Arabidopsis thaliana: one gene and its partners. The protein of the gene in region 3 interacts with the protein of the main gene of each other region in a pairwise test. Each region holds a gene or a part of one and is shown on either strand. Other genes may lie near its edges. The genes, in order: AGL43, AGL53, AT5G38620 and AGL26.

Region 1 (7,625 bases), 610 kb from region 3:
AAAACATATTTCGTGGACTTAGCGCGAGTCTTCCGGCGAGAAACGAGCTACTAGTGAAACGATGATTGAAGAAATTATGATTATATATGTGACATTAACTAAAACGATAGAGATCTTTTTCTTTTTTAATTTCCATCAACCATGGAGAGATTTATTTTTCCTTTTTGTCAACAACAACATCGTTGGATTTCTTAAAGCATAAAAAATCTTATAACGTAAAGCAAAGAAAATTAAAAAGCTAAAATGGCTACGACTTTTTACAAGAAACAAAAAAATGATTACGACTAATTAATGATTTGAAATATTTGGGAAATAGAATTTACCGAAAAACAACGGCGAGGATGAAGGTAAAAGCAGGATTGACATTGCTCATGGCCGAAGATAAAGTCGGCGAGCTATATTTTATCCCATTGTAGCCTAAGATTTGAAACGCACTTCTGTTCTTTTTATGAAGTACAAATACAACAAATTTAAGTAAGAAATTTCTTCCATAAAACAATTTTTTTTGAATACACACTTATATGCAATTCAAGAACCAACTAATAATTGGTTTTGAAACCTAGCTAGGAAGATATATGCATTGCAAATGCTACTAGATATAGTGTTTCCAAAATAAAAGTAACTTACGCAATTAGACCAAGAATCCCCATGTTGCATAGAATTGAAAATGTCAACGGAGGGAGAGATCTTGATCTGTAGAGATAAGTCTATGTAAGAAAAATTACTTAATACTTAACATAAAACTTGAAACAGAATCGTGAGAATGAAGAACCTGAAGGAGAAGAATGTAAGAGGAAGAAGAAGAAGAGATCCAAAAGTGTAAGAGTATACAAGAACCACAAATGGGCTAAGTCCTTTGGACGTCGCTGCTTTGACCAGAGTGTTTACTCCTACGTTAGAAAACTCTGTCACCACCATCGCCGTCAAGATCCAGCCATCTCTGTTACATAACCTTCCATGAACCATTTTTTAGTTCTTGGCTTCTTCTTTCTTCTAAGCCTCTGTCTCTCTGAAATTTGTATATATTATTAGTTCATGGGATCTTGATGGGAAAAGACATGTGAAACAGTCTCCATCAAATAAATGATTAATTGTTGTCTTCTTATTGGTTGAAAAAACATTTATTTGTTGGGTATGAAATGTATGTGGTCTCTGAAAAATTGTAATTAAATGGATTCCTACACATGTTGTGGCTAGATTAAAACACACGTTTCATATTTCATTTTTACATACAAAAAGTTATTGACAAACAAATTATAGATGGATGTATATATCCTCATCAAACATCATCAAATAATTACAAAACGTATAAACATGTGACATCTATATAGATAGATAGATAGACAAGATAAACCAGGACCATCTTCAAATGGGTACAAAACCAATAGATGAATCCAAGAAATTAGAAGAGAAGCTAAAACTAAATTCTTATTTACCCTGGCTCTGTATAAACAGGGACCAACCATCTTCTAATGGGTCCAAAAGTAAGTAATTAAAGGATTTCACTTGCATCTAACATATCTTCATGGTAAGGTTTCATTTTCTTTTGTTGTGTTTAGGCAACAAAAGTGACTGCTGTGAAAGACTTGCTATTTTGGCTGCATCTTCTCTTGCTTTGCCCCAAATCACAGTATAAAACCCAAAGCTCAATATCATTGATCCAATCACACTGTCCACAACACAGAGATGCAACATAGTAACATGAAGATCATGAGACTAAACATTTCAACAACCTATAACTAAGATAACTAAGTTTATATCACTTATGTTTCTCAAGAAAGAGACGCTATAGTTGAAAGATATGGCACATCCAAAGGTGAAGTGCATCGCCAAGGAATATAGCACCCATGACGACTGCAACTGCTATAAACAACGGCTTGAATAAGGATACATACACTGGACCATTCAGGTGGAGACCCCATGTGTGTATAACCGAGCACAATGATGAATCAAATACTCCCTGAAACAGAGTGGTAGTTTCTGAGCTTAAAGATAAGAGTCAGTAGTTGAAGCAGGTTATAAAAGGTTTGACTTTAACCGAGTATATGACTGCAGCGAGGAAATATCCGGTTTAAGCTGCCAAGAGGTCAAGTCTTTTTCTGCAAACTGGTGGTGAAATTAGCATTCCACATAAGTTGTAGAAGAAGACTACAGTTATTTCTTCAGGGTAGATCTCCATGACCTGACTCTGAAATCATGTACAGCTGCCAAATTTAGCTTAAGTTTATGTGTAACCAACAAAACCCAAAATCTCATTCATGAATCAGTTCCAAGTATATGTACCTGAAGAATATACCAGACTGAAACAAGCAAATACTGTGAAGTGATCAAAAGGCCTCCAATTATCCAACTTGACTCGAATGAAGTAAAAGATGCAGCATCAAGAACTTTTCGGCCTTTATAGAGAACAACAACCAGAGCAGCAGATATCGATACTATCTTGCCAATGATCTAAGCCAGATTTGCAGAGCTTCTTAGTGTTACTTGTTCCATCCTTTATAAGTCACCAGATAAAAAAATTGATAGTCACAAAAAATCCTCATATCCATCAGAAGTTTCTCGGGAAAGAATGATAGGCTAACATGTTGATATCACCGCAAGGTTGTACTAGTACAACCACAATTAGTGGCATGAGAATGTTTCTGCATTTTGGTATTGTTTCATATTTGACAGTTACTGTCTGTGTTCTGATATTGTTTCATATTTGATTGTTACTGTTTCAGAAACATATATTTTGTATGGTTAACGTGGAACCACTCGGTTGTTCATTTTCTACAAACAGAGAGGAAAGAAACAAGGTGGAACCTGAAGAAGACGGCAAGTATGAAGGTGGAAGATGGTGTGAGGTTGCTGATAGCAGAGGTAAGAGTTGGGGAACTATATTCAATAGCTTTACAACCAGCTACCTGTATGGAAAGTGAAAGTGCATGTACTGCTTCATACTATCCAACTAATAACCATAAAAAAGCTGGAGATAATTCAGATTATTATAACATATAACTGGTGTTTCCCAATGGAACACATATGCTTAGTTCTACTTATACAACTAACACACACATACACAGTTATTGCTCTGTTGAGAGTCTCTATTGGAAATTTGAGTTTATTATGCATAAGAGAGAAATCAGAAATAGATCATAAGACTGGCTTTTAGTAATTAATGTTTCTAGGGATGATGATTCAAAATTTATTACAATATTAGCTGAATACAGAACAACAACACACCTAAGAACAAGACATTAGACACACAGAATTAATCATAAGAAATTAACAAAAGTCTGCATAACCGTAACCATAAAGTTCATTCTGCATCAACTGATTCAACCAGGGGTTATTCACAGATTCTTCTACCGCCGAGTAATGTTGTGTGCTTGAGACGCAAGGATGTTCACAGCTGTTGCTATTGATGTTACCCACAGACATGTTATGATCACAACCATAAAACTCCTTGTGCATCAACCCAAAGTTGTTCACAGATTCTTGTACTGAGACGCAAGGAAGTTGAAAATTGTTGTTGGTGATGTTACCCATCCACATGTTCTGATTCTGATCATTACCACAAATCTCCTGCTTCATTAACTGATTCTTCAACTCAGATTGTTCAAGTAACGCTGAGAAATAATCCTGATTGAAATTTGATGCAGAGACTGGGATCTGAGACAGAGTATTGTCTCCATGATTATACATAAACAGCGAGAACTGGCTAGGGTTCAAAGATTGGGTCTGATGATTCAGAGAGGATGATGCTAAACTGTGGTGATCCGGTTGTGTCTCATTCTGTTTCCGCGACTCAAGAAATTCAAGCCTTTCGTGGAATTTAGAGACATGGAGTTCCAAGGACTGAATCAGTGGAGAAACTTGGTCGGGAGGGTAATGATCAGCGAGTGGATACTTTAAAACATTCACCTTCTTAAGACTCGTCTTCCTCTTCTTGTCCGTATTCTTCAAACCCTTGTTCTTCTTCTTCTTGTTCAGGAACCCATGAAGATTAACGCTTTTCTTGCGTCTCAATGCTTCGTTTAATTGACTATACCTAAGAGCAATGTCTCTCACTTTCTCTCGCTCCGGAGGCCATGTCTTGAGTTCTCCGTCTGGTCCGTAATAGATGACGCAGGCTTCAATATCACAGAGAGTGCAAAGCTCTGAAGCTTTCTTGAAGATGGTCTCAAGTCTGTTGCTCAAACTTGTTGAAGCGAGTGAATAAGCGGAAGAGGAAGAAGGTAAAGATGATCGCATAGTCATTATTGTTGATTTCGAAGACAAACTTTCTGTTTCAGAGTGAAGAGAAAACACGAAGACAAACTTTGGCGGCTTTGTGAAAAAGATGAAGAAAGTGAGAAGGAAACTGTGTGAATTAGAGATATATTTTGATCACTAGGGTTTGAAAAAATATTTATCACTCTCGCTGATCGGTGAAAAAACGCGTAAAGATATGTGTGTGTGCGCTTTTTTAGATTCGATTTCCATATATTTGCATAGATTTTGCGTTTAGAGCCGTTAAGGGTTGTTGATAAAATGGAAATATAAGAGAAGGTTTCCTAACTGGCAATATCAGTCGTCTTACATTAATTAAAAATCCTTAACTTGAAATAGTACAAGAAAGAAAAACATACAAAATTACCATATGTACAATGTAGTGTAGCTATACGTAAACATCAATGGGGACCATCTCTTAACAGATTCCACTTGCATCAGTCACAGCTTAATGAGGCTTCTTCTTCTATGGTGTGTGAAGGCAACAAAGGGGACTGCTCAGTACCAGCCACAGTTTTGATTGAATCCTCTCTTGCTTTTCCCCAAATCACAGTGTAGAATCCTAAGCTCAAAATCAATGATCCAATGACACTACACACAATATATATGCCGGATAATTAGTACTGTCTCGAAAGAAATATTTAGAAACTATATATGGCGGCTAAGTGTGACTTGTGACGAATTAAAACCAGAAACCATATAACTCTCAATGTAATTCCATGGATAGATACATGGCACTAAAGCTGAATGTTATGGCACCTAGATATTAGATAATATGTTGTGTGTGATATTTATGAAGATTGTGAAAGATAAAGTACCTCCCAAGGTAAAGTGCATCGCCGAGGAACATAACACCCATAGCGACCGCAATGACAATAGACAACGGCTTGAACAAGGATATGTAGACTGGACCCTTAAGATGCAGACCCCAAGTGTGTATAACTGAGCCAAATGATGAAACTAAGCCTCCCTGAAACAGAGTGTTAGTTTCTGAGCTTAAAATATAATCATTACTTGAAGCAACATATTAGGATTGATTCTCACCGAGTACATGACTGAAGCAAGGGAGACACCCGGTTTAAGTATAAAAGAATTCAAGTCTTTTTCCGCAAATAGACATACTGGTGCCGAGATAAGCGTAGCGCATAAGTTATACAAGAATACTACAGTTATTTCTTCAGGGTATAACTCCATGACCCGAGTCTGAAATCATATAGAGCTACCACATTTAGCAAGAGTTATATAAGTGTCACCAACATATCCAATGTCCTTTTTCATACCTGAAGAATATACCAGACTGAAACAAGCAAATACTGTGTAGCGAGCAAAAGACCTCCGATTATCCAACTCGAATCAAATGAAGTCAAATGCTGGTAAAGCGAAATGGTAGGTGATGGAGGTGTAAGAGATGCATCAGTTAGAACTTTAGGGCCTTTATAAAGAATAACAACCAAAGCACCAGATATAGATACTATCGTGCCAATGATTTTGGCCTGAGTCGCGGAGCTCCTTAAGACTATTTGTTCCATTCTTTTGAGTCACACAAGGAAGCAGTAACAACAAGAGTTAAATGTTCAGCTGATAGAAACAAACACCCCTCTAGTTTACCCATATTTCTCTCTGTCTCTTAGAACAACATGTGGGCACAACATTTTTTATGCAACCACAAGGTTGTACTTGTACTAGTGGCTGTGACAAAAGCAAAAGGCTTAAAACTTTGAACGGTTAAATAAGTGTGGAACTACCGCATTGTTAACTAAATTATCTATATACTATCCCAGAACGGAAACGAAAGAAAAAGAGGTGGAACCTGAAGATAACGGCGAGCGTAAATGTGAAAGCTGGTGTCAGATTGCTGATAGCAGAGGCAAGAGTTGGTGAACTATATTCTATACCTTTACAACCAACTATCAGAGACATGAACCTGTTTCCCAAAAGTTAGCAAACTAGAAAAGAAAAACAGGTAAATGAGGCTAAATCTGGTAGTATAAGGAGTATATCATTACCCAACAAGCGCAAGTAAGAAAATATTGAAGAAGACAGGGGTCTTGGCAGAAGGTAATCGTTTTGACCTGCACATAAACTATGTTCACATTCTTGAAATTTTTATACTGGTCAAGAGTACTTGAAGAGATCAGTACCTTCCAAAAATGAGGGAAAGTGGAAGAAGAACAAGTGTAGCAACAACATAGGTATAGAAGACAAAGACATAGAAGCTCAATCCTCGCAATGTCGCAGCCTTGAACAGTGTATTAGATCCAACCGTAACACACTCCACCGCGACCATTGCAGTGAACGGCACAACATCTCTGCAAAAGTAACTCCATGCCACTGTCTCCCCTCCTGCTCCTCTTGTCATAGATCTGATGTCAGACTTTCAAAAATTCTCAGAAGTCAACGTGAGTTTATAAGAAATCATAGTGGTTAATCACCTCACGTTTGCTAATTATTTTATTTAGATAAATTACTCCAACAACTTGACCAATACTTTACATCATTGTCACAACTAATATATACATTGACCAATACTTCACACCAACTTAACCAATACTTTACACCATTGTTACAATTCAACTAAAATACATATCATGAAGGATCCGATCCAGATAATCAGGGATCTTCCAAATCAAGAAACTACGCATCTACAAAGAAAGCTCTATACCTTAGAAAGATAATATTTGGCCATGGAGCTCTACCTCTTTTACTCTTCAAAGAGGGCAGGGATTTATCTACCAGAAACTTATGTAAGGTTGTGAACGCACTGATAAGATAATTAAAAGGACCAAATATTTCTTATAGATTCATAATTCTCATTCATATGTAACATCAAAATAAAACAAGAAAAAAAGAACAGATATCTTATATGTAACTATAGACATATATGGTACACCTCTTTTAGGGATCCATATTTATTAATAAATAGTATAAGGATTTCACTTGCATCAATCCTAGCTTAATGGAAAGGCTCCATCTTCTATGATATGTGTAAGCAGCAAAGGTGACTGCTCAGAACCAGCTACAGTTTTGATTGTATCCTCTCTTGCTTTGCCCCAAATCACAGTGTAGAATCCAATGCACAATATCATTGATCCAATGACACTGCCCAACACAAAATATGCAAAACTTCTATACGTTATTACTGTCTCAAAATGCTTATTGCAGTTTACACAGAGATATACAGTGGAATTGTGGAGACTAAGTGTTTCTCACATGTGAAATAATACAGAAGAAACCATATATGAGAGCTCATGTAGAATAGAATCCAGAAACCATATAACTCTCTAAATGTGATTCCATAGATAGATACATCATACTAAGCATTTCAACTACCAAGAGCTGAGTACTATATTTCTCAGTACAGATAAAATATT
Region 2 (7,519 bases), 5.9 Mb from region 3:
GTTATCTAAGTGGCATGTTTTGGCTTGAGAAATTTCAGTTTAGTTTAGTTTTCTCTTCTTACCCTAAGTTTAGTTTCAGTTTCAAGTTTGTTTCAGGTTTCTCTTCTTACCCTAAGTTTAGTTTCAGTTTCAAGATTTGAGTTTAACTTGGTTAAGTTTATGTTTTAGTTTGGTTTCAGGATTGAATTCATATAAATCAATGTTATTGTTTCAAAAAAGTCTTTCAATTAGTCGGTCTAACCTTCCTAACTTGGCACACATATGACACTTCAATATAATGTTCAGGTTTAACGTTATCATGTACCCTTTATTGCAATACTCAAATCTTCAAGAATCGGGTAAAACGAGATAAGCAACTGTATAGCTTCATTATTGGCGTATATACGTAGACAAAACTCACTTAGGCATTGTAATCTGCAAATTCATTGGCATCAAATATCCAACAAAGCCAGAGTTTTTCCACCTCTTGGACAAAACACTACTTTTAACAACATTTTTTGTTGGAAGCTGTCACCAAAGCATCTGACTCATCAAAGTTGGCTTCTCTGCATAAATTATCGACATCTAACCTTCAATATCTATTGTATATTAAAAATCTGAACATAGCAGGTTTTCAAACTCAAATATAAGACTCAGACAATTATAGAAGAAGCCAAGACTGTTTTTAGAAACTTGAGAAAATAGCATTCATACTTGGGAAAACATACAATTCAATACAAACTCGTAATCAGGCACAAGAAGAGACAGTTAAACTCATAATCTAAATGAAGAATACATATATAATAGATCATTATAAAACGTACACCAAGTCAAAGATCAGTTTTTGGAACAACAAGAACTAATTATAAGGGAACATCATTGGATCTGCAAACGACGGTGCTTGATTCCATGCCGCAAACTGATCAAAGGGGACAAGTGGGGTTTGTGTCTGCATCTGAGGAGGAAAAACCATGGGAGGAAGATCAAAGTTACTTCCTAGACCAGATCCTTGTTCCCCAAGTAAAGCCGATTGGTCAAAGCTAGAAACTGAGTCAGGGACTTGATAGAAGCTACGGTTGTCATGGTTATAGAGAAAGACTGAAATTCTGCTCTGATTTTGACTCAATGATGACGTCGATAGGTCTTGCTCTGTGTTTGACACACCACTCATCAATGGTTCTGTCCATTGTTGATGACGATGATCCTCAATTAGCGAAGGAGGAGGAGACAATGGATTCGTTGTGGAAGAAACCGCACGGGTCTGACCAAACTCGGTCTGGTTTTTCTCGGGTTGGAGTAACAGAAGCTTATCTTGTAGTACTCGTAGACCACTTTCTAACGAATCCTCCATCTCTAAGACTTTCTCCGACAATTTAGTGTCGTCGAGGATCTTCTTACGTAGAAACAGAGAAAGGTTGGTTCTTTTCTTGCATCGCTCTCTCTCGTGTAATCTGCTAAACCTCTCAGCCATGTCTCGAACTTTTGATTGATCCTCCGGCCATGTCTTGATGAGTTTTCCGTCACGACCATAGTATATGACACAGACATCGATGTTGCACAGAGTTGAAAGCTCCAAGGCTTTCTTGAACATGGTCTGTTCTCTCATAGACAAATTCGTGGTCTTTTTTGCAGTAGAAGAAGAAGACAGGGACGATTTCTTGAAACAAGTTTGGTTTCTCACAGACAATTTGGTTTTCTTCTTCGTCGACATTGAAGAATCCATTGTTGTTGTTTACCCACAGAAAAAGAAGAAGAAGATACCTAGTTTCTTATCAGAGAGAAACCTAGAAAATAAACTTAGTGTAACTAACACACGGTTCAGGGTTATATAGAATTGTGAAATTCTTGTATTTCCATATAATATTTGATATTGATTTTACTAAACCAAGAGAGACAAATTGAGCTGTGGGTTTTATTTCCTTTTTCTTTAGAGTATCTTTTCTTCGTTAAATGATGATGATTTACTTCTATTAATCTAACCGTTGTGATATTTAAGTAATGAAATTCCCTTTTTGTTTGCTGTCTATGAGATAAATCTTAATTAGATACGATTTTCCTTTACCAATATCAATGTAACCGTTGTAGATACGATCTTAGATACGATTTCCCACATCCAGTATCTTATTATATAAAGTATAGTTTTTAAAGTTACTAACTCATAAGATTGTGGCACGTGTCAAGTCTAATAATGAGAAGTTTATATGTGTCATTAAAGATTTAACTTTTTAATTTTCTTAAAAAAATAGAAAACCTTAAAAAGAAAAATTTACATATATTAATTTCTTATTATATAAAGTACAGTTTTCAAAATTACTACCTCATAAGATTGTGGCACGTGTCAAATCTAACATTGAGATGTTTACATGTGTCATTAAAGATTTAACTTTTTAATTCTCTTAAAAAAATAAAAAACCTTAAAAAGAAAAATTTACATATATTAATTTATATATATCTAACAATATTTAAACTTTATTTTTCTTAACAAAAAAGAAAATTAACAAATTTGAAAACACATATATTATTGGTCAATTAAATAAATAATCATGTATTAATTTAAAAGAAAAATCATTAAGTATGAATAATAACTAATTAAAAAGACCACTTAAGTTTAAAATAACAATATAATTTATTTAAAATTAATTTAATTGGATAAAATTGTGTTTATCATTGTAATATAGTGTTTTCATTTGTTAAATTTTGAACACAAAAATATTTTTAAAATTTAGTGACCTTATTATAATAAATTTTTAAATATTTAAGATTTATTCTAAGAATTTTAACGTATTCGGTGATTGAGCAACTTGGATCCTTTGATATGTCACTAAAAGCTTATAACTATGTTTTATTGTAAAAAATTTAACGCATGTAGTCATAAGTTAAAACACAAGATTTTTGGAGAGAACAACTTATATGATTTACTTTTCAATTACTTAAAAAGAAGTTAGTATATTTTTTAATTAATTTTAACTCATTTAAAATAAGTTTACATAAGAGAAAATTACGCCATATATAAAGAAACATTTTAAAAAGTTTTGCTTTTCAAATATTTTTGTGGATTTTTTTTTTGTTAAGTTTTGTTTACTGTTTATTATTTTTTTAATATCAACAAAGATATATATTAGATCTGATATAAATATATTTTTTTAATAAAAAAAAATTCACTTAAGATGAAGTGTTTAGAATGAAAATCGAGTATATTATGATGAAATAGATACTTAAATTGTATTGCAAAATTGAATGTGTAAGATAGAAATTTGTAGGTTATTATTTAGAATTCAAATATCATCAATAAGCTTGAATGTGTAGAATTAAAATGTATGATAAAAGAGAATGTATAAGCATCAAATTTTGTTAAATAAAAAAATATTAAATTAATTGTCAAAAAAAATATAAATTACTATTTTATTATTCAACATTTGAATACTGTCAATAAAGATTTACATCTAAATCACACACCCGCCTATTTAGGCGGCCTTATTAGTTTTTTATAAAATAGTCCCAAATTTTAGTTTTAAGTAAACACAAAGAGGAATATTTATACTCTTCCGAGTTCGCTGACATATGGTAAAATGGGCCTTCGTTTTCTTTTATCCGCCTTCATTGTTGGGCCCTAGCCCAGTTGTTTTTTTTGCGCAAAATTAATACATCGATGGGGATTGACTCTTGACGCTGTCGATCATCACTATTCACTAGCACTAGTAACAATGAACAAGTCATTGCTTACCTGCAGAATTCATTTTCCACGATCAATTTAATTTGGCTGGACAAAATACAACGTTTTTTTTTCATGTTCCCTGTACGTAACTAAAAAGTAAGACAAAAGGAGTGGAAATGGACATTATTCAACGTAAAGACTTTTTAAGTCGTTGCGTTTAACGTGAAAAACGCCTCGGAGGGTCAAGCTGTGTTGGAATTATCTTTGTGGAATAGAGTCTATTATTTTTGTATATAAAGAGATGGGCATGAAAACATGTTACGTACCATCACAATTTCCAGATTTTATTTTTTTGCTTTTTCACTATCAATATTCAAGAAAATTAAATTAGCTTAAGAATGATGGAAGGCTTTTGGAACTCAAAGAGTATCATTCGTATTACTCTCTCTTTTATTTTCTTATTCATTTGTCATTTTCTGGACGTGCTTGCGGCTCCAACTAGGAACTTGTGTCGTCCCGAACAAAGGGATGCACTCCTCGCGTTCAAAAACGAGTTTGAGATTGGGAAGCCTTCTCCTGATCATTGTAAGATTTATGGCATTGAATCTCCTCGGAAGACGGACTCATGGGGGAATAACAGCGACTGTTGTAATTGGGAGGGAGTCACGTGCAATGCCAAGTCCGGGGAAGTGATCGAGCTAGACCTAAGCTGCAGCTCTCTCCATGGCCGGTTTCATTCCAACAGCAGTATTCGAAACCTTCATTTCCTAACCACTCTAGACCTTTCATTTAATGATTTTAAAGGTCAAATCACGTCATCAATTGAAAATCTTTCTCATCTCACCTATCTCGACCTTTCTTCTAATCATTTTTCGGGTCAGATTCTGAATTCAATCGGAAACCTTTCTCGTCTCACCTATCTCAACCTTTTTGATAATCAATTTTCGGGTCAGGCTCCATCATCAATTTGTAATCTTTCTCATCTCACTTTTCTAGATCTTTCTTATAATCGGTTTTTTGGTCAGTTTCCGTCTTCTATCGGAGGTCTTTCTCATCTCACCACTCTCAGCCTTTTCAGTAACAAATTTTCGGGTCAGATTCCATCTTCAATTGGAAATCTTTCTAATCTCACCACTCTCGACCTTTCTAATAACAATTTTTCGGGTCAGATTCCATCTTTTATTGGAAACCTTTCTCAACTTACCTTTCTCGGCCTCTTTAGTAACAATTTCGTTGGTGAAATCCCATCTTCTTTTGGCAATCTAAACCAGCTGACCCGCTTATATGTTGATGACAATAAGCTCAGCGGAAACTTTCCCAATGTCCTACTGAACTTGACAGGGTTGTCACTTTTATCACTCTCCAACAATAAGTTCACAGGCACGCTTCCTCCTAATATCACTTCACTATCCAACTTGATGGATTTTGATGCAAGTGACAACGCCTTCACCGGAACGTTCCCTTCTTTTCTCTTCACCATTCCTTCTTTGACTTACATTCGTTTGAATGGTAACCAACTCAAAGGCACTCTTGAGTTTGGAAATATATCTTCACCATCTAACCTATATGAGTTAGACATTGGCAACAACAACTTCATAGGACCAATCCCTAGTTCCATTTCCAAATTAGTCAAACTTTTCCGACTTGACATTTCCCATTTAAACACCCAAGGCCCAGTTGACTTTAGTATCTTCTCCCATCTCAAGTCACTCCTAGATCTAAACATATCCCATTTGAACACCACCACTAGGATCGACTTGAACTATTTCTTATCATATTTCAAAAGGCTCCTTTTATTGGATCTCTCAGGCAACCATGTTTCGGCCACAAACAAAAGTTCAGTTTCAGATCCTCCTTCGCAATTGATACAATCTTTGTACTTGTCAGGGTGCGGTATCACTGAATTTCCAGAGTTCGTAAGAACCCAACACGAATTGGGGTTTCTAGACATTTCCAACAACAAAATCAAAGGTCAAGTTCCTGACTGGTTATGGAGGCTACCAATCTTGTACTACGTGAATCTTTCCAACAACACTTTAATCGGTTTCCAAAGACCATCGAAACCTGAACCATCTCTGCTGTACTTGCTTGGCTCCAACAATAACTTCATAGGCAAGATTCCTTCTTTCATATGCGGGTTGCGTTCTCTAAACACACTCGATTTATCTGACAACAACTTTAATGGTTCAATCCCTCGTTGCATGGGACATCTCAAGAGTACTCTTTCAGTTCTAAACCTTCGTCAGAATCATCTTAGCGGAGGTCTTCCAAAGCAAATATTTGAAATACTGAGGTCTCTTGATGTCGGCCATAACCAGCTAGTGGGAAAGCTACCAAGATCTTTGAGTTTTTTCTCTACTCTTGAAGTTTTGAACGTGGAAAGCAACAGAATCAACGACACGTTTCCCTTCTGGTTGAGTTCTCTACCGAAGCTACAAGTTCTTGTATTACGCTCCAATGCATTCCATGGACCAATACATGAAGCCACATTCCCTGAGTTGCGCATCATCGATATATCACATAATCGCTTCAATGGAACTTTGCCAACAGAGTACTTTGTGAAGTGGAGTGCTATGTCATCACTTGGAAAAAACGAAGACCAGTCTAACGAAAAGTACATGGGATCAGGCCTTTACTACCAAGATTCAATGGTTTTGATGAATAAAGGTGTAGCGATGGAGCTGGTACGTATCCTCACAATCTACACAGCAGTCGACTTTTCCGGAAACAGATTTGAAGGAGAGATTCCAAAGTCCATTGGTCTATTGAAAGAGCTTCTCGTGCTCAGCTTGTCAAACAATGCTTTCAGTGGCCACATGCCTTCATCTATGGGGAACCTGACAGCTCTCGAGTCATTGGACGTTTCTAAGAACAAGCTTACAGGAGAGATTCCACAAGAGCTAGGGGACCTTTCGTTCCTTGCGTATATGAACTTCTCTCATAACCAGCTTGCAGGCCTAGTACCAGGAGGCCAGCAATTTCTAACGCAAAATTGCTCTGCCTTTGAAGATAACTTGGGACTTTTCGGCTCTTCTCTTGAAGAAGTTTGCAGAGATATTCACACGCCAGCATCACATCAACAGTTTGAAACGCCGGAAACAGAGGAAGAAGACGAAGATCTGATTAGTTGGATAGCAGCTGCAATAGGATTCGGACCTGGTATTGCCTTTGGTTTGATGTTTGGATACATACTCGTTTCCTATAAACCAGAGTGGTTCATGAACCCTTTTGACCGAAACAATCGTAGACAGAAAAGACACAAAACAACTCACTAGAGAGGTAATGTTCTGACTCTTAAAACGAATTAGTTAGCAAACATTAGAATAAATTACGTGAACAAACTTTTGAATATAGGTCCGTAATTGATACCGAAATTTGTGAAATATCTCTTTGATCTTTCGTTTTCGCACACAGCACCCAGAAGCAATCGAAAATCTGTTTCGGTGATTAAACCGCTGAAATTTTTAAAAATGTAAACAACTCTTATGTTTGGAATTTGGTGCTTTCTTATAGGCACAATCCTAGGGTGTCCAAAGATAACAACAGAGAAGGAGGTATGAGAGAAATGAAGCTCATATACAAAGATCTGCATTTATGGTTTAATTTGTTTTGTCTAAGAACTCTCAAATGTCTAGTTAATACCTTTCATTTTGCTTGTGAATAAGTGAACCATAAGTACATTTGGAGTGATATAAAGCTTTTAGTTTAATGGCAATGTAAGTTTCATGTGATAGTTAAAACCAAACCTTTTTACGGCGAAGAAGTAGAACGATGGAAGTGAGTTCAAAAAAAACAACCATATATACTAGTTTCTGTGGTCATATACAAAATCATGTTATAGAAAACACACACACACAAAGTATAGAAGAAAGAAAAACAACATGT
Region 3 (8,092 bases):
CGATCATATCGGACGTTGACTTTACTTGTGAGACAAGGAAGAATAAGAAGATAATGTAGAAGACTTGAGAGAGCTTCATTGTTTTTCTAGTTATGAGATTCTTCTTAATTCTTTTGTTTGGTTGATATATAGAGAGATGAATGTATACGTACGACGTCGTTTGCGTTGTGGGAATATTTGACTATTTAAGATGGTTGAGTTGTTGTTCAAAAAAAAAAAAGATGGTTGAGTAAAGTGTCATCAACAATGGGTTTTCACTTGCTTCTACTCTAATACAAATGTATTCCTCAAGCAATATAATTAGTTCGGTATTATGAGAACATTCTGCGTTAAATACTTAAATGCAATTTAGAAGAAAATTAAAGAAGTTGTCAAATGTCATTATTGCATGGACAGTTACTTTTGAAAATTGATTGCAAATTCAAAGTGAAAAATTTGCTTCAAATTTTATTCTAGGTTAGTTAAGTTTCAATTGGAAGATAGTACCGTTCTTTACGTTTACATTTTTCTCCATTTCAAATATACGTATAAACTTAATACGCCAATTTAGACAAATGTAAATGTTTGATTTTATTTTGGAGTATTTCTTTAGTTCCGATTTAGACAAATGTAAATGTCTCATTTTAATACGAAATTATAATTAAAATTATCCAATCAGTACTCTATTTCTAATTCAGTAATAGTGATCCAAATATATACTATAACTCTCCATTTATTATTGACTGTGAACCAAAAAAAATTCCAACTAACTGTGAACAATTTGATTTTCATTTTGTAACGGATTTTACAACAAAATCGACAAGCTCCTCAAGAATCTACTTTACTTAGGCAATATGTTAACTGTTAAATTAAATGGGATACTTTCTTAAATTATTTAGTTATTTTAGTTCAAACTTATATTGAAATGAACTTCAAATTTAAAGGAAAAACTACATTGTTTATATCTTTTGTTCCTCCAGTGTTAATGTTGTTGGAATCATTTTGTACGAAAAAATAATCAATTTTTGTAACAAATATTTTGGTTCACCACAAATATACCAAAATTTTGTAATAGAAAGATTTAAAAAATAGTTTGTTTACTTCTATAATACATACATTTCATAGTTACTCAAAAAAAAAAATTATATTAATAAATTGACATTTTTCCCAAGTTTATAAGGTATCATGTATTCGAGTTTGAAGATCAGCAAAGATGTGTATTTTAATTGAGATATTATATAAAAATACTGAATACATCCAAAAAAGTATCTTCCCACATTTCTCATTCTTTCATTTATTTGTGCATCTTCTACTTAATTACTATTTCTCTCATATAGTTTCCTCGTTAGGTCATACATTGAGGATAGTTATGGATGACTTGCTTCACAATGAACAAGTCATGGTCTGTTTGCATTGTTGACAATGACATAGTTGCTCGGCAGTAGTTAATATTACTTGTGTCACCGTAGACCATTTTATAGAGCATAAATAATGCCATAGTATCCATAGATGAAAAAAAATAAAGTATAATTATTTTTTACCGTCTCTCAATTGTATACTTGTCGATAGTGACGCAAGTAATGTGAATCTCAATCTTATGGTCTCGTCGAAACTGCTGGAGATGACTCTATGAAAGGTCGTGGTCATGTCCTCTCTTTCTCGGTCGTAAGAGAACAAATTATTTGTTTAAGCTGTATATTTGTTGTTTGCGGTCCTAACAAGCTAATCTAGCTAGGTCCTAAAACAAAATATTTGTTTAAGCTGTATATGTCATATGATCAATTTTATTGGTGTGCATTTGAATCTAAGTTATAGAAAAAGAGCGTATATCATTGGATAATGTGTTACTTGAATAGTGATGACTATGTTCGATTGAAAGGCATTTAAAAAGAGGAAAGTGAAGGGCATTCTATTTCTCTACCATTGCAATGCATGCATCGGAGTATGCAGGACATGCATGAATGAACATAATGTATGCAGGACATGCATGAATGAACATAATCTAGCTTTGATCACTTTGTATCATGTTGATCTTGGTCCCCACTCTGAGACTTTAAGAATGAAACAGAGGAACCTGAAGTTTATTCAGTGGCAATTTCTTTGTAGAATGTGTAAATGATACAATTGCATACCAGTTGGTTAACTCTATGTATATAATCGAAATTTCACCTGATTCTCTTATCATACTCATTGGTTAGCTACCAATTTTGCCATAAATTAAAGACATTTCCTTTTTTTTTATCCGATTAAGATTTATAAAAAGACATGAGTTTGTTGGACTTAAAACTACAAATACAAAACATAGAAACAGAACACAAATATTATCATTAAACCAAACTGATGAAGCAGAGAACCAGTTTGAGTTCGATCAATTTCCCTCATACATATATGGAAAACTGATCGAGGTCAAACCAGATCATTCATTACATTGCTAGAACAAATAAATCTCTAATAGAATCAATACATACAGATAACAAAGAGAAGTTGATTTGAAAACTGCAGAGAGATTATCTTCAAACTGCTGCAATAGTGTTTGCAAAGTCATTGAAACAATCAGAGAATCGTAGATTATCTCCATCCAAACATCTCTGAAACACCAAATCTGCATCTTCAAGGCTTTGAAAATAAGAAAACGGATTTGTATCCACCGAGACTTGATCATCAACACCAACATCGTTCAAAATACTTGCACTAGTCGTCTCCTGATGAGTAGTGTTGTCCGAAAACCAATCATCTATCGAGCTTTCAAAAGGGGTGTTGAAGTCAATGAGTTGATCAATAGCCATGTCTTGATTGTAATATAGGTTAACTTCAGGTAAAGCAGCGTTGTTGTTGTTGTTGTTGTTATTATCCGTAACACAAAAAGTTTCACAAATCGAGAGAATCTGATCTTGTTCTTCAGTGATTTCATTGAAAATTTCAGGTGATTTATCAGGGACGCAACAGATTGCAGAACTACTGGACTGAATATCTAGGGTTTGATTTGGCTCTTGAGTAATATCGTTGAGATTTTCAGGGATGCAACAAACTGCAGAAGCGGACTGAAAAATTAGGGTTTGATCTTGAGTTCCGTGAACATCGCTCTTCTCATTCTTCTTCAAGTCCTTGTGATCGTTAACGCAAGCTTCATCCGCACGCAACTCCTTGAGATTACTCAACAGAGTCCACATGGAACCGATCGCTTCACTAATCTCTTGAGGATTCTCCGATCTCACAAGGCTCTCGTCATTCCACCAAAACCCTAACCCTAGATTCTTGCGAGTCAAACAGATACCAACGTCCTCCCTCGTCTCTTTGTTATCCTTCGGAGCCGAAACAGGACGTTTTCCGGAGAGAAAAGCAGAGACAACGGCATCAACAGAGGAGTGACCGAAAGAGTAGAAAGAGACGTCGGATTCAGAAGAAGGAGGAGTCGCTAAGATAGCGATTTGTGCGTCGGAGAGAAGACAAAGCTGAGAGGCTTTGCTATAGAGACCTTTACGGCGTTTGGTGCAGGTAACCCTAAGGGAATCTCTCTTCTGTATCGTCTCAATCGCAATCTTTCTCTTCGTGCCTTTCACCATTCTGATTGATTTTTTTCTCAATTTTCAGATAATTGAAGTGAAGGCTTCTTCTATCTCTCAGTCTCATATATATAAGGGACTATCGAATCTCATATGAAAAAGGAAATATCGAAACCCCATATCATCCTCCTTAACCGATTAAACCACATGGACCGTAATATGGGCTAAGCCTAACCATCCACCAGAATCCCCTTTTTTTTTTTTTTTTCATCCTTTCTTATTTGCTTATGTACAAGCATAACATTATTGATGATAAATTATTCAAAGATGGACAAGAATAGATATATAATTTCAACTATGCTCTATGGACCTTCGCCACACAAAAACAAAAAAAAACAAAAAAAGAATTACCTAAGACTCTTTTTAATAGTTTAAAAACAAAATTTATAAAATAACTAAATTTTGCCTCCAAATTATTTATATTACTATTAATTTTATAAACAAATTTAGTATTTATTTATTAGTGTAGTATTTAATTAGAACGTTAGATAATTTATTTATTTTTATTTTGATAATTTTTAGTTATTTTCTTATCATTCATATTTATTTAGCGATATTTTTAGTTATTTTGTTTTATAATTATTTTCTTAGATTCTACAAAAAAAAAATTGTCAGATTATTATGAGAGACACAAACAAATATATAGTTGGTTCTTCACATTATCGTGTTTATTCTTTCTAATCACAAGATCAACAATGTAGTATCACTCTTAAAATGTGATTATGAAGTTAACAAAGCTTACATGGTAGCAGAAGAAAACATTGTTAACGACCGGAAGACTTACACTTTGCCACACTTTCTTTATTTTTCATAACAAAGAGATACTTTTGGAGAATTTCATCTTTTTTACTATTCAATATTAATCAATACTGTTTTGCCTCTGAAATAAAAATCTATGGGTGTGTGTCATTGTAATTCTCTCAAAATAAAAATAAAAATAGGCAAAGTAGACATAAACAAAAGATCTTTACTCTAATCAGTTTTGTGAGTGACACAAAGCTCCATTTTTTTACCCTTAAATCAAATTACTAATAATAATTAAAAAATCTTATAAAAATAATATTTCTGGCAAATCACTCTGGTTGACCTCAAACTCAAAGTCGAGTAATTGCCGATCTAAAACACAGGGGGTGATTCAGAAATCCCCAAAATTCGACTAAAAACTAAAACCCTAGCCCTAATTCATCCTGATTTTGATCGCCGTATAAAAGACTCGCATTTTCTGGGCTTAGTATGGCGGTTCCGGTGCTGGGTGGATTTCCGATCTTCATGGTAGTGAGAGTTTTGGGTTTCATCATCGCGGCTTTGGTTTTGACATGGACTGTTCATTACAGAGGAGGCTTAGCTCTTTCTTCTGATAACAAAGATCACATCTTTAATGTAATTCTCTCGATTGTTGTTTTGACTCACATGTGAAATGGATTGGATGAAATGTTCTTGTTGCTGTATCTGAGATTCATATTTCTTGATTGTGTTGTTGAGATATTGAAATTTGGATTTTACTTTTCTGTGTGATCACAAGCTATGATCTGAGACTCATATTTGGATGTATAATGTCATCATTGGTAGATATATATCTGATGATGTCAAATGTCTTTGTTTTTAGGTTCATCCAGTGATGATGGTGATTGGACTCATACTCTTCAATGGAGAAGGTAAGCAAACAATCTCCTTCACATGTTAAGAGTTTGTAGTATATTACCGTCTTAACTTCATATTTTAGACTTCAAATTTGTAGTATATTACCGTCTGGCGACTATTCTAATGTCAAGAGGTTTTAGTATTCGTTGTATCGGTTTTCATGTTCGATTTCCGCATACTTCATTTGTCAAAGAGACTGAACTGTTGAATTGCCCTTTTTAACATTTGAGTACATTGAAATTTTATGTCAAGAGGTTTAGGACTCATAGGATTAGTTTTTTTTGTTTTTAGTTACGGCATTGTTAATTCGGTAAAGAGACCATGGACATGTTTTCGTTTCTAACATGAACGGTACCTTCAACTTATGCAGCTATGTTAGCATATAAGTCAGTTCAAGGTACAAAGAACTTGAAAAAACTGGTTCATCTTACACTACAACTCACAGCATTTATTCTAAGCCTGATCGGAGTGTGGGCTGCTCTCAAGTTCCATATTGACAAAGGGATCGAAAATTTCTACAGTCTCCATTCGTGGCTCGGCCTTGCTTGCCTCTTTCTCTTTGCATTCCAGGTACACTCTCTGTTCTGACTTGTTTTAAAATAACAATCTCCATTACTCAGTAAGAATAAATATCAAGAACTCACTCAAATCTATTGTTACAAACAGTGGGCTGCAGGGTTTGTGACTTATTGGTACCCGGGTGGTTCAAGAAACAGCAGAGCCAGTTTGATGCCATGGCATGTGTTCTTAGGGATTTCCATATATGCATTGGCGTTGGTGACTGCAACCACAGGGATACTTGAGAAGGTGACGTTCCTGCAAGTGAATCAAGTGATAACTCGGTATTCCACAGAGGCAATGTTAGTCAACACAATGGGCGTTCTAATCCTTATTCTTGGCGGTTTCGTGATACTCGGTGTGGTTACTCCGGTCAGTGGCAAGGATCAAGTTCTCACACAATAGAGTAAACCCTCGAAAAGATCTCTTTCAACATTTCGACCTATCGAAACATTGTTTATTTAAGAGACAATTTGTGATGTAATTGAGTCTTTTTGAACTGATTTAACGAGCAGTGCATATATGACTGTAATACAAGTAAAGCATGAGAACACGTGTAACCAATGTTGAAGACTGAACCCAACAAAAATTGGCATAGAATCTGAGAAAGATTTGTATCAACCTCCATGAGAAGGGAGAGTAAGAGAAGCCTCACTCATACATCACAGACAAAGAAAAACATCACCGATATCGATAAAATCTTCCCGGAGAGGCGGATGATGAATCGCACTCTTCACAGAGTCAAAAGTTTCTAAAAACAAGTCAAGGCCAAAAAAAATGAACCCGGTACTCAGGAAAAGAAGCGGATGAGGGGAGGCAGTGCCGGTAGTTATTCTATCTGGGTTGTGATGAGAAGAGCCTGAGCTAGAGGAGGGGGTTGGAGAAGAAGAGCTTTCGCAAAAATGAGCTTTGCTTAGACAAGCAAGTGTTCTTTCTGATATTCTCTCACGATGACAGGCACACTTGTGGGAGGTACCTGAAAACGAAAACATTGCGTTCAATGGTTTGAGATTCTGAATAAGTGGAGAAACTGTATTTTATAGGTCTGAGACTTCAGGAACCTAATGCTATGTTTTTAAGAGACGATGGTTAATCTTACCATGCCATAATCTGTGATTATCATGGAAATGTAATCTGAAGGTGTAGCATCATACCTGTCATTAGAAAAATCACAAACGAGTTTAGTGGCAGAGAGGATTAGTATTAACAGAACATAGTTTCACTTCTCCGATAAACACAAGCTTACATCAAGTTCAAAAACTGCAGGTTTGCGTTGTTGGTCAAGCCATCTAAATAGTTTATGTCTTCTCTTCCATGAACTTCTGAAATAGCATTTGGATCACCTAAAGGTAAAGAAGCAAGAAACCCAATGTAAGGTAAAACAAAATCAAAGGCGGTATAAGATGATACTGATATCGAGAGAAGATATTGCATACCAAGCTCATTGGAACATATTGAATCCAATTGCACCCTCTCATGGAACTTGTAGGCTTCGCAACATACAAGCACAGGAACACGGAATGCATTTGCAACCATTGCAACACAAGCAGTCCCAACCCTTGAATAAACTGTTCCGTTAGACAAAACTGACGAGGCGCCCAAAAACACTTTGGTGACTTCATGCATGATATATGAAATGGCATTTATATGAGTGTATGTACAGTTAATGCCTCGTTTGATCAATCTACGAAGCAGTAGCTGCCCTTCAAGCTTTGGACGAGAATCCACCACCAAGACTCGAAACTTTTTCCTGAGTTCATGTGCATGTAATATTACCATCTCAACAGCAGTGGGAGATCCGTAGGTCAGAAGGACATCACCGTCTCTTATTTTAGTAACAGCATGTTTGACTATCACCGTATCTGCCACTATGATCTTCTCGTTAATGAACCGTTCAATATCTGACTGAAGAGTAGCTTTTGCTTCAGATTCAGAAAGTGTTATAGGCAGCTTTGCAATCCTGTTTTTCACAAATCGTATTGCGTTTCCCATGCTAATCGAAAGCGGACGGCATTCTATGAGGAAGGAGACGTAGCTACTTATTTTCGCAGTCATGTCCCTGTTAAGAGACTTCTCAGGCGGTGTTGAATAATCTTTGACAACCTCTTGGAATGCTTGGAGCATCGCAATACACCTGGCATTGCCACCAGAGATATCCCCAGAAAGATATTGAAGACCAACCTGATACCACAACAACTGATACTCATTCAGTATACAAGTAACATTCATCTTAATGAAGCAATATAAACCACTCATTAGAACAAACGGTTCCTTGTTTTAACAAAGAGATTATTAATAGTTTATTAGAAGCACCAACCAGATAAATTCAAGAGAAAACAAATACCTTGTAC
Region 4 (8,592 bases), 6.0 Mb from region 3:
CGACGTTACTATAGATCTATCAAAGGTAATTAAATGTGGTCAAGGACCAAATTTTGTATTTCTTTTCTTCATGATGTTCTGTCCACCAATAGATGGATATGAATACCATTTTGTTTCATGTGATACTAGGCCGATTGAATTTAATTGCTGATCCATTTCCCTACAGGTTTTATTTGTGTGCACAGCAAATGTGATAGACATGATTCCAAATCCTTTGCTAGACAGAATGGAGGTGATTTCTATTGCTGGGTATATCACTGATGAAAAAGTTCATATCGCAAGAGACTATTTGGAAAAAACTGCACGTGGAGATTGTGGTGTCAAGCCTGAACAGGTCTCACTTTCATCCTATTCTCCAATTGTCTCTTCTTTTAACTCTCGGTAAATTAAAATGAGTGAGTGATTATCAATGAATCACATACTTCTAAGATTTCGTCAATTTGTTCGTACTATGCAGGTTGAGGTGAGTGATGCAGCGCTTCTTTCCTTGATAGAAAATTACTGCAGAGAAGCAGGTGTTAGGAATCTCCAGAAACAGATCGAGAAGATTTACCGTAAGGTAAGTTTTGCTACAAGACTCCGAATTGATTCCTCAAGCCCTCAATGTCGAACACCATTTACTTTTCTGTTGTAGATTGCACTTAAATTAGTGCGTGAAGGAGCAGTCCCCGAAGAGCCTGCAGTTGCAAGTGATCCTGAAGAAGCTGAAATCGTGGCTGATGTTGGCGAATCCATAGAGAATCATACTGTCGAAGAAAACACTGTGTCCTCTGCTGAAGAACCAAAGGAAGAGGCCCAAACCGAGAAGATAGCTATTGAAACGGTTATGATTGATGAGTCAAACCTTGCGGATTATGTAGGAAAACCGGTATTCCATGCAGAGAAGCTCTATGAGCAGACACCGGTAGGTGTTGTGATGGGTCTAGCTTGGACATCAATGGGTGGTTCAACATTGTACATAGAGACGACTGTTGTGGAGGAAGGGGAAGGTAAAGGTGGCCTGAATATAACGGGTCAGCTCGGTGATGTGATGAAAGAAAGTGCACAAATTGCTCACACAGTCGCCAGAAAGATCATGCTAGAGAAAGAACCAGAGAATCAGTTCTTTGCAAACTCCAAGCTTCATCTCCATGTTCCTGCAGGAGCCACTCCCAAGGATGGTCCAAGTGCAGGCTGCACCATGATCACATCTTTACTATCACTTGCCACGAAGAAACCCGTTAGGAAGGACCTTGCAATGACTGGAGAAGTCACACTAACCGGAAGAATTCTTCCTATTGGTGGGGTAAGTAACTCCGGACTTCTCTCACTCTATTCTATTAGAGCCTCTCTTTTTTTTTCCTTTTTTGACAATGTACACAAAAATGTTACAGGTGAAAGAGAAAACTATAGCGGCGAGGCGGAGTCAGATTAAAACAATAATATTTCCAGAGGCAAACCGGAGAGACTTTGATGAGCTGGCAGAGAATGTGAAAGAAGGGCTTAATGTTCACTTCGTGGATGACTATGGAAAGATCTTCGAGCTTGCCTTTGGCTATGACAAACAAGAAGACTGAGAACACACATAAGCCACGTTGACCTTTTGTCATCTGTTGTTGTCTCCATTTAAACAACACTACCATTCTTGATTCTCTTTGATCTTTTTCTTCCTTCAAGAAGAAAGTTATTCTGTAACTTTTTTTTTATGATTAGGGTAATTTATTGGTGGTTGGATTTTATTATTTTGGTATATAACCAAAGCCAAATATCATAATAAGACATCAGAACAAAGTAAAAAAAACAAAGTTGTTTCTCATTTTGTGCTTGTAATTTCATCAACATATTCGCGTATTACTTTCACTGTTGCTATGTGTTCGATCACACTTCATAACAGACTAGTAACTTGTTGGCATAATTTTCTGTTTTATATTCCTTTCTACTGGATTAGATGATGGGTAATTTGACTATTAAACTATGTAATGAAATGTATATATATTCTTAGTTCGTACTCAGACAAAAATAGGATTGAGAAGATAGCATTCATACTTAGGAAAAACATACAATTCAACACAAACTCTTCATCAGACAATTAACCTCATATAATCTGATATCTGAAGTAGAAACAGAGGCACGGACTTGATAGAAGCTACAGTTGTCATGGTTATAGAGAAAGACTGAAAATTTGCTCTGATGTTGACTCAATGGTGACGTCGATAGGTCTTGCTCTGTGTTTGACACACCGATATTCACCAATGGTTCTGTCCATTGTTGATGACGGGGATCTGACCTAACTCGGTCTGGTTTTTCTCGGGTTGTAGTAACAGAAGCTTATCTTGTAGTACCCGTAGACCACTTTCTAATGAATCCTTCATCTCTAAGACTTTCTCCGAGAGCTTACTGTTGTCGAGGATCTTCTTACGTAGAAACAGAGAAAGGTTGGTTCTTTTCTTGCGTCGCTCTCTCTCGTGTAGTTTGCTAAACCTCTCTGCCATGTCTCGAACCTTGGATTGATCCTCCGGCCATGTCTTGATGAGTTCTCCGTCACGACTATAAAGTATGACACAGACTTCGATATCGCACAGAGTTGAAAGCTCGAGGGCTTTCTTAAACATTGTATCTTCTCTCATAGACAAGTTTGGTTTCTTCTCACAGAAAATTTGGTTTTCTTCTTGACATCGAAGAATCTATTGTGATGTTTTGTTTACACAGAGATAGGAAAAAAATTAAGCTTTTAGCTTGTTCTCAAAGAGAAAATAAACTCTGAAGGAGAGAATTGGGATACAGATACAATAGGGTTTAGGGTAGTGACTCCTTCAAGATGAATATGAATGCTTACCAACCACCAATGGCTATGCCTCTACGTCTCCGTCTTCCTTTTTGCAACCATCCAATGTATCAAGCAAAGATATCCTCTGTCAACAATGGTTCTTCACCATTCACACAGCCTTGAGGTGCACACTCGATTTGCTCATAGTTAAGTTGTCTGGACGCTTCATACAGAGCAATCCCTACACTCACCGAAAGATTCAGACATCTCACATACGTTTCTACCATGGGAATACGTAGGGTCCCCCCTCCATATGGTTCGTGATTGCAGTCTGACAGCGCTTCAGGAGGTAGACCGCTTGTCTCTGACCCGAACAAGAGGTAATCGCCTGATCGGTAAGAAAAATCCTGCATCAAGTTGTAACCATTGTTTTCAGCTACCCAATTGCTAGTGATTGTTGCTATTTCTGGTTGGTAAACAATAAACTAGAGGTGGAAGGACAAGCAAGCAACTTACTGAATGTATCCTTGTTCCTCTTTTTGTAAAAGCTATCATTCGTTTTTCTCCCTCCTAAACCAAAGAGAAATATCAGACACCACACACACATAGGGACTTTAGCTACTCAAGGACAAGTGGTAAACCTGAAGCCTGAAATATTCTTGAAACTCAGCCCATGAGCTATGCGCTTTGACAACCACAAAGCTATGCTTTAAGTTAAGAAGAAGAAGAGCTAATGACAGCGACTAAACCTTAACACAAAAACAGTGGGGTAAACTCTCATTTCTCAATTCCTATGTAGTAGACAAATTAGGTAGGATACGGCCAATAATCCAAACCAGCTCGCTTAACTCTGGCGTCATCCACTTGAAAACCTAATGGCTGAAGCAGGAACAAATGACAGATTAAGTCATCAACACTGGAAATAATGAACAAGTCGTGTTTGGTTACTTTACCCCGACTAAATGCAGACCAACAGCTGAGGCAGCACATGTTCTTGCAATGCAACCTGTATTCCCAGGAATCTGTCAAGGAGAGTATAAGTTGTTTAGATCCATCAACATGTACTAAGAAGACCAAAGGTAGCAGTGAGAGTGCAAACCTGAGGAGAGACCAAAACTACATGAAGCAGCTTACTCCTCGCATCTTCCTTGACTCCTTCTCCGGCCCCTCGCGGCAGGGGATTTTTCTTATCTGACTCGCCTATACCAACTCCTCGGAGAGCATGAGACTGAATCTTGGAGGAAAACGAGTTGATGGAGAGAGATAGCTTGCCCTTGAGATGAGTTAAGCTAAGAGAGGGAAATAGACGGCCACTTGACCGCAGATGAAACGTCCTTGAAGCTATGACGCTCCGACAGCAACTCTCCATTCCCTCGCCTCCCTTCTCCGCCGCCCGCAGATTCCACGACGTCAAATAAGATATTAATCAATTGGGCCGGATACTTTTAGGCCCATTCAATACTATATCTAATCGCTAAAGATGAATTGGGTTAAGGGTACTACTTCAACTTAAGTAGTGAAAGTTGACATGTTAAATTCGATTTCCATATTTTACATTTTGAAGAAAACATACAATCGGGTTATATAGAATTTTTTAAATTCGATCGATTTCCATATTTCATACTGATTTCCATATCTTTTCTTCATTTAATGATGAAATCTAAAATTAGATCCTATTTCTAACCGTCGTAAGGTAATTATTAATTAATTAATTAAGGTAAGCAAAAACCCTTAATTATTGTCTTCACATTGAAGAACCCATTGTGTTGTTTACACACAAAAAAATAATAAAAAAATATAGCTCATCAAAGAGAAAATAAACTCTGATAATTATGTAACACGGTTCTGATATTAATCTAACCGTTGGGGTTTTTCAATAATTGTAGTAAAAACTCCTAATTTTTTTTTGAGTCACGGAGAAATTAAATTTAAAAGAGTTCTACAATTTTTTTTGTCTATATAACCTTTTTTTGCTAAATTTCAATTTGAACCAAAATACCCCTACTTTATATTTTAAGCATTTTTGAAAAAGTTTGACCTTAATAACATGTAGATCTACAAGAATATAGTTGATTTGTAAAAAAAAAAATTGTTATTTAGTTAAACAAAAATTGATTTTTTGATAGATAAAATTTTGTCTAAATTTTTTAGAAAACGATTTCTAGTAATCTATTAAGTTTAGAATTTCTATTCTAATATTTTGTACATATTTTACAATATTTAGACTATTTTTCTTTCTAACAATCTTAGAAAATAGGATATTCAATATCTAAAAATTGTAGAACATGTATTCTAAAATTCCTTCATGTTCTAAACTATGTGTGAAATTGTATTCTAAGAATTTCTATAGTTTCTGAAAACACTAGAACACGTTTTCTTAGAAATTTTCACTTTTAGAATTTATATTTTAACCCAAATTAGTTTTTTGTTTCTAAACTATTTAGAATAGATATAAAAAGTGAATCTTTGAAAAAAGAAAATAAATATTTATTAGATTTGAATTATTAAATCTACATGCAACTAAAATTAACAGCTCAACATGCAAATTGCAATTGACACTTCATGAGACACAAAATTGAGAGAAAAGACTAAGAACCAACCAAGTGATTCTAAGAACTTAACAAATCGAAACAGTTCTTAGAGATGAGACCTGTGAGGGAAGAGAGCGGCGGCGACACCGTTCTGAAGGCGGACTTTGGCGGTTTTGGTGGCGGAGAAGGAAGGGAGGTTGAGATGAGTGGTCACGACGGTGATGAAGAAGATTCAGGTGACTTTGGACACGACGACGCCGACCACAGAGAAGGCAAAGAAATCGCCGGCGACGACGACAACAGAGATGGCAAAGAAATCGCCTGCGACATGTGGAGAGTAAGTTCGCCCGAAAAAAAATTATAGAGCTGAATGCTTTTTTTTTTAATCGAGTAAAGGAGGAAGAGAGACAAAAGATAGGGTTTGTGAAAGAGTCTAATACATTTAGAGGATTTAGGTTCTCAAAATTTTACTTTAAACTAGTATTTCTTTTGTATAAATAGATTAGGAAATTTTAATTATAAAATAAAATGAGGGTAAATAAGACTTATTTTTTTTTGAAAAACCTATTTGATTAATTTATAAGAAAAAGAAATAGATGGACAATTTATTTTTAGATATCCTCTAGATTTAATTTCCCTCATAAAAATGCTTTGTATGTTTGATATCATAGAGAAAATCTAAATTAGATCCGATTTTACAAATATCAATCTAACCGTTGTAGTAAATGTAATTACTGATAATTAATTTAAGGACAGCAACAAAAAAGAAAGGGAATGTGACATTATTAGGCATTTTGTGAGAATCTTTTTACGTTTGAGGCACTTATGAGGGAGAAGACACTTTGCCATCTTTTTGAGAGGAGATTGGACTAATTTGCCCCTGAAGTGGTGAAAACACAATAATTTTTAAACTTATTTTTAATAAGATCGTGTGGGTGAGAAACTTTTTTTTTATATCATCTATCCCTTCCATATTCTTTTGTTTTCATCATTTTCAATCCCTCTTTCAAATCATAGTCGTTCTCAATAATTTTTACAAAATTATGAAAATTCTGAGGTTATCTCAAAATTCACAATCACAATCTATGTTTACCCTAAATTTCCTTTATTTTTTCAGTTTTGTATTTTTTTTTCTCCATTCTCCGTCATCAAATCCATTTCATTATCTGCAGCCTCCATCAATGAACGACTGTGACCAACAAAAAAAAGTAACATCATCGATTTCTCCTTTTCGAGATGAAGAAGAAGGAGATCCTTACTCTCTGCTACAAAGCTCCCTCTTCCCTTAATCTCCCTCTTTTTCTGGTTCCATGTTCTTCTCTCTTGTCTTACTTATGGTTTCTGGTTTCGTTGTTTTTTTTTGGGTAAAAGGTTTCTTTGGTTTTGAATCATAAAGGCCAATGTTACATGTTATTCGTTGATTCTAGATTAGGCTTTAGATTGTAAATCTTAAAACTTTTTTTTTATGTTATGTGTTCTTAATTTTATGATTTTATCCTTCAATTTAAATTTATATTTGTTAGATCTGTTGAATTTGTTGCCTTTGTTTTTGAATTGAAAAATGTTTGGATGTCATTTGCGTAGACGGAAAGTGATTGGACGCATAAGGCTGGGTATGTGGTGGTTATGCAAGAAGATTGGTTGATGTTTATGAGCTTTTTTTGAAACTTTGGTCCATGAGGCTGCGCTGGCCGCCGTGAGTTCCAGTGTCTTGTCTGGCAACTCCATACTTATGTCGACTCATGGATGTCAAGAAAAGTTTATGAGAAAACACGAAAATGTATATCCATTTGTTCGGCGCTAGGTGGATACACCTTCATTTCTTACACTATATCCATTTGGTCTATGTTTCATGGATACAACTCTACTTCTAAAAATCATATATGAACACGTACTTGCCGATTGTCAGCTAAAGGAATCCGTCCATTACTCTTCGAAGATATGTTATCCAACTAATGAAGTGTTCTTTTATTTGATTTTGGTGAACAATGTTTAGATTTGGTGTTATTCATCTTTCGTGTATTTGTTTGTGCAGATAAAACATTTCAACGTAAGAGCTGTAAAATATAGGATCATTCCTATGGTGATATTCATATGATTATATTCAAAAATGGTTCATACGAGTGTGTAAACCCTCTACGCTTTACATTAAATCCTAATTTACTTACCCTAAAATTAAACTCAAACCCTCCCATGATCCTTCTCCACTAAATCTAAAACCATAAAACAAAACTCTAAACCATACAAAAAATGATAATTTTACCAATCAATAAAATACATTTGCAGCAAATCAAAGACATAGTTGTCCATTGATGACTATCCAAGCGGTTTAGTCCATGTGGTAATCTAGTGACTCATGAGGTCGTTTCATTTCAATACACAAGTTTATACATGAATGATAATCACCAATTCAAACACCAATTCAAAGTACATCGTCCATTTTATCTCTCTTTCTCTCAAGCTAAAATCTGAAACCACCGATATAGAATAAATGAGAAATCGTTTACTCTTAGGAAATAAAAATCAATTGAAAATTGAGAAAAGTGCTATATAAGAGAACGTAACATTAATTAGAGAAGCCCAAGATTTGTACTCTCGCCGCTGTGATTATCAGAGAAGTGGGAGAACAACGACTGATGATTTGCCACCAAAAACAAGAGAAACGAGATCGCGGCTTCTACTGCTACACGAGATCCTTCACTCGGTCGCTCGTTCACTTATTCTTTCTTTTTTGTGACATCGGCTTCTTTGTTCTCCATATTTTATGGTCTCTGAAATTCTAAGATCTAACAAGCGAATAACTGAAAGAAAAAAACCCTGCAAACTTTAAGGTTTTGAAGCAATTGAATGAACTTTAGGTAGAACGCATGAAACTACAATTACATGAATAAACACATAGACAACAAAATTATCAGGGTATAGATCCTTAAATCAAGTCGTAATTCTAGCAAACACATCAACCATCATCTTCCGCTGGATTTTGTGTTTCTCGAGAAAAAAAAAATAGAAAAAGGAGAGAGACAAAAAGATTGTAACCTATGTAATTAAAGGGTAAATAAGTCAAATTGCCCATACAAAATACCTATTCCTTGAAAAGTGTATAATCGCGTAAATACTTTTTAAAAAGTGTCCTCTACACTGTAATATAGAAACCCTAAATTGCTCCCACTATTTTCTATTTCATTCGCTTTCCTCTCAGCGACAAAACAAAACTCTTCGCTCTCTGTCTTCTCTCTGTCTCTGCTCGAATATATTTGATTAGTCGGTCGTCTTTTTCTCTAACTTGTTTACCAACGCTTACTTCTCTTCCCCGCA

The links.
Region 1: the proteins of AT5G38620 (region 3) and AGL43 interact in a two-hybrid assay, tested with the Arabidopsis thaliana proteins (one large-scale study listed by BioGRID).
Region 2: the proteins of AT5G38620 (region 3) and AGL53 interact in a two-hybrid assay, tested with the Arabidopsis thaliana proteins (one large-scale study listed by BioGRID).
Region 4: the proteins of AT5G38620 (region 3) and AGL26 interact in a two-hybrid assay, tested with the Arabidopsis thaliana proteins (one large-scale study listed by BioGRID).

Annotation. Positions count from the first base shown.
Region 1 is NC_003076.8:16,075,123-16,082,747, forward strand, and holds AGL43 (AGAMOUS-like 43), read right to left. Parts: upstream 4,243-7,625; coding exon 3,268-4,242; downstream 1-3,267. Other genes in the region: UMAMIT42 (nodulin MtN21 /EamA-like transporter family protein), read right to left, coding at 324-437, 628-693, 773-966; UMAMIT37 (nodulin MtN21 /EamA-like transporter family protein), read right to left, coding at 4,692-4,845, 5,073-5,224, 5,299-5,457, 5,535-5,784, 6,065-6,178, 6,261-6,326, 6,396-6,613; UMAMIT40 (nodulin MtN21 /EamA-like transporter family protein), read right to left, coding at 7,203-7,353.
Region 2 is NC_003076.8:9,521,924-9,529,442, reverse strand, and holds AGL53 (AGAMOUS-like 53), read right to left. Parts: upstream 1,703-7,519; coding exon 839-1,702; downstream 1-838. Other genes in the region: AT5G27065 (uncharacterized protein), read right to left, coding at 4,741-4,776, 4,839-5,114; RLP53 (receptor like protein 53), read left to right, coding at 4,033-6,909. UniProt on the Arabidopsis thaliana protein: Probable transcription factor that may function in the maintenance of the proper function of the central cell in pollen tube attraction.
Region 3 is NC_003076.8:15,461,366-15,469,457, forward strand, and holds AT5G38620 (MADS-box transcription factor family protein), read right to left. Parts: upstream 3,543-8,092; coding exon 2,493-3,542; downstream 1-2,492. Other genes in the region: AT5G38610 (Plant invertase/pectin methylesterase inhibitor superfamily protein), read right to left, coding at 1-79; CYB-1 (cytochrome B561-1), read left to right, coding at 4,776-4,922, 5,149-5,197, 5,554-5,753, 5,850-6,146; AT5G38640 (NagB/RpiA/CoA transferase-like superfamily protein), read right to left, coding at 6,655-6,717, 6,841-6,895, 6,988-7,084, 7,178-7,922, 8,086-8,092.
Region 4 is NC_003076.8:9,455,076-9,463,667, forward strand, and holds AGL26 (tRNA (cytidine(34)-2'-O)-methyltransferase), read right to left. Parts: upstream 4,147-8,592; 5' UTR 4,116-4,146; coding exon 3,846-4,115; intron 3,769-3,845; coding exon 3,700-3,768; intron 3,626-3,699; coding exon 3,567-3,625; intron 3,449-3,566; coding exon 3,388-3,448; intron 3,317-3,387; coding exon 3,263-3,316; intron 3,154-3,262; coding exon 2,875-3,153; 3' UTR 2,616-2,874; downstream 1-2,615. Other genes in the region: LON1 (lon protease 1), read left to right, coding at 1-25, 167-334, 458-559, 635-1,285, 1,374-1,556; AT5G26865 (AGAMOUS-like MADS-box protein), read right to left, coding at 2,226-2,606; AT5G26890 (uncharacterized protein), read left to right, coding at 5,390-5,641.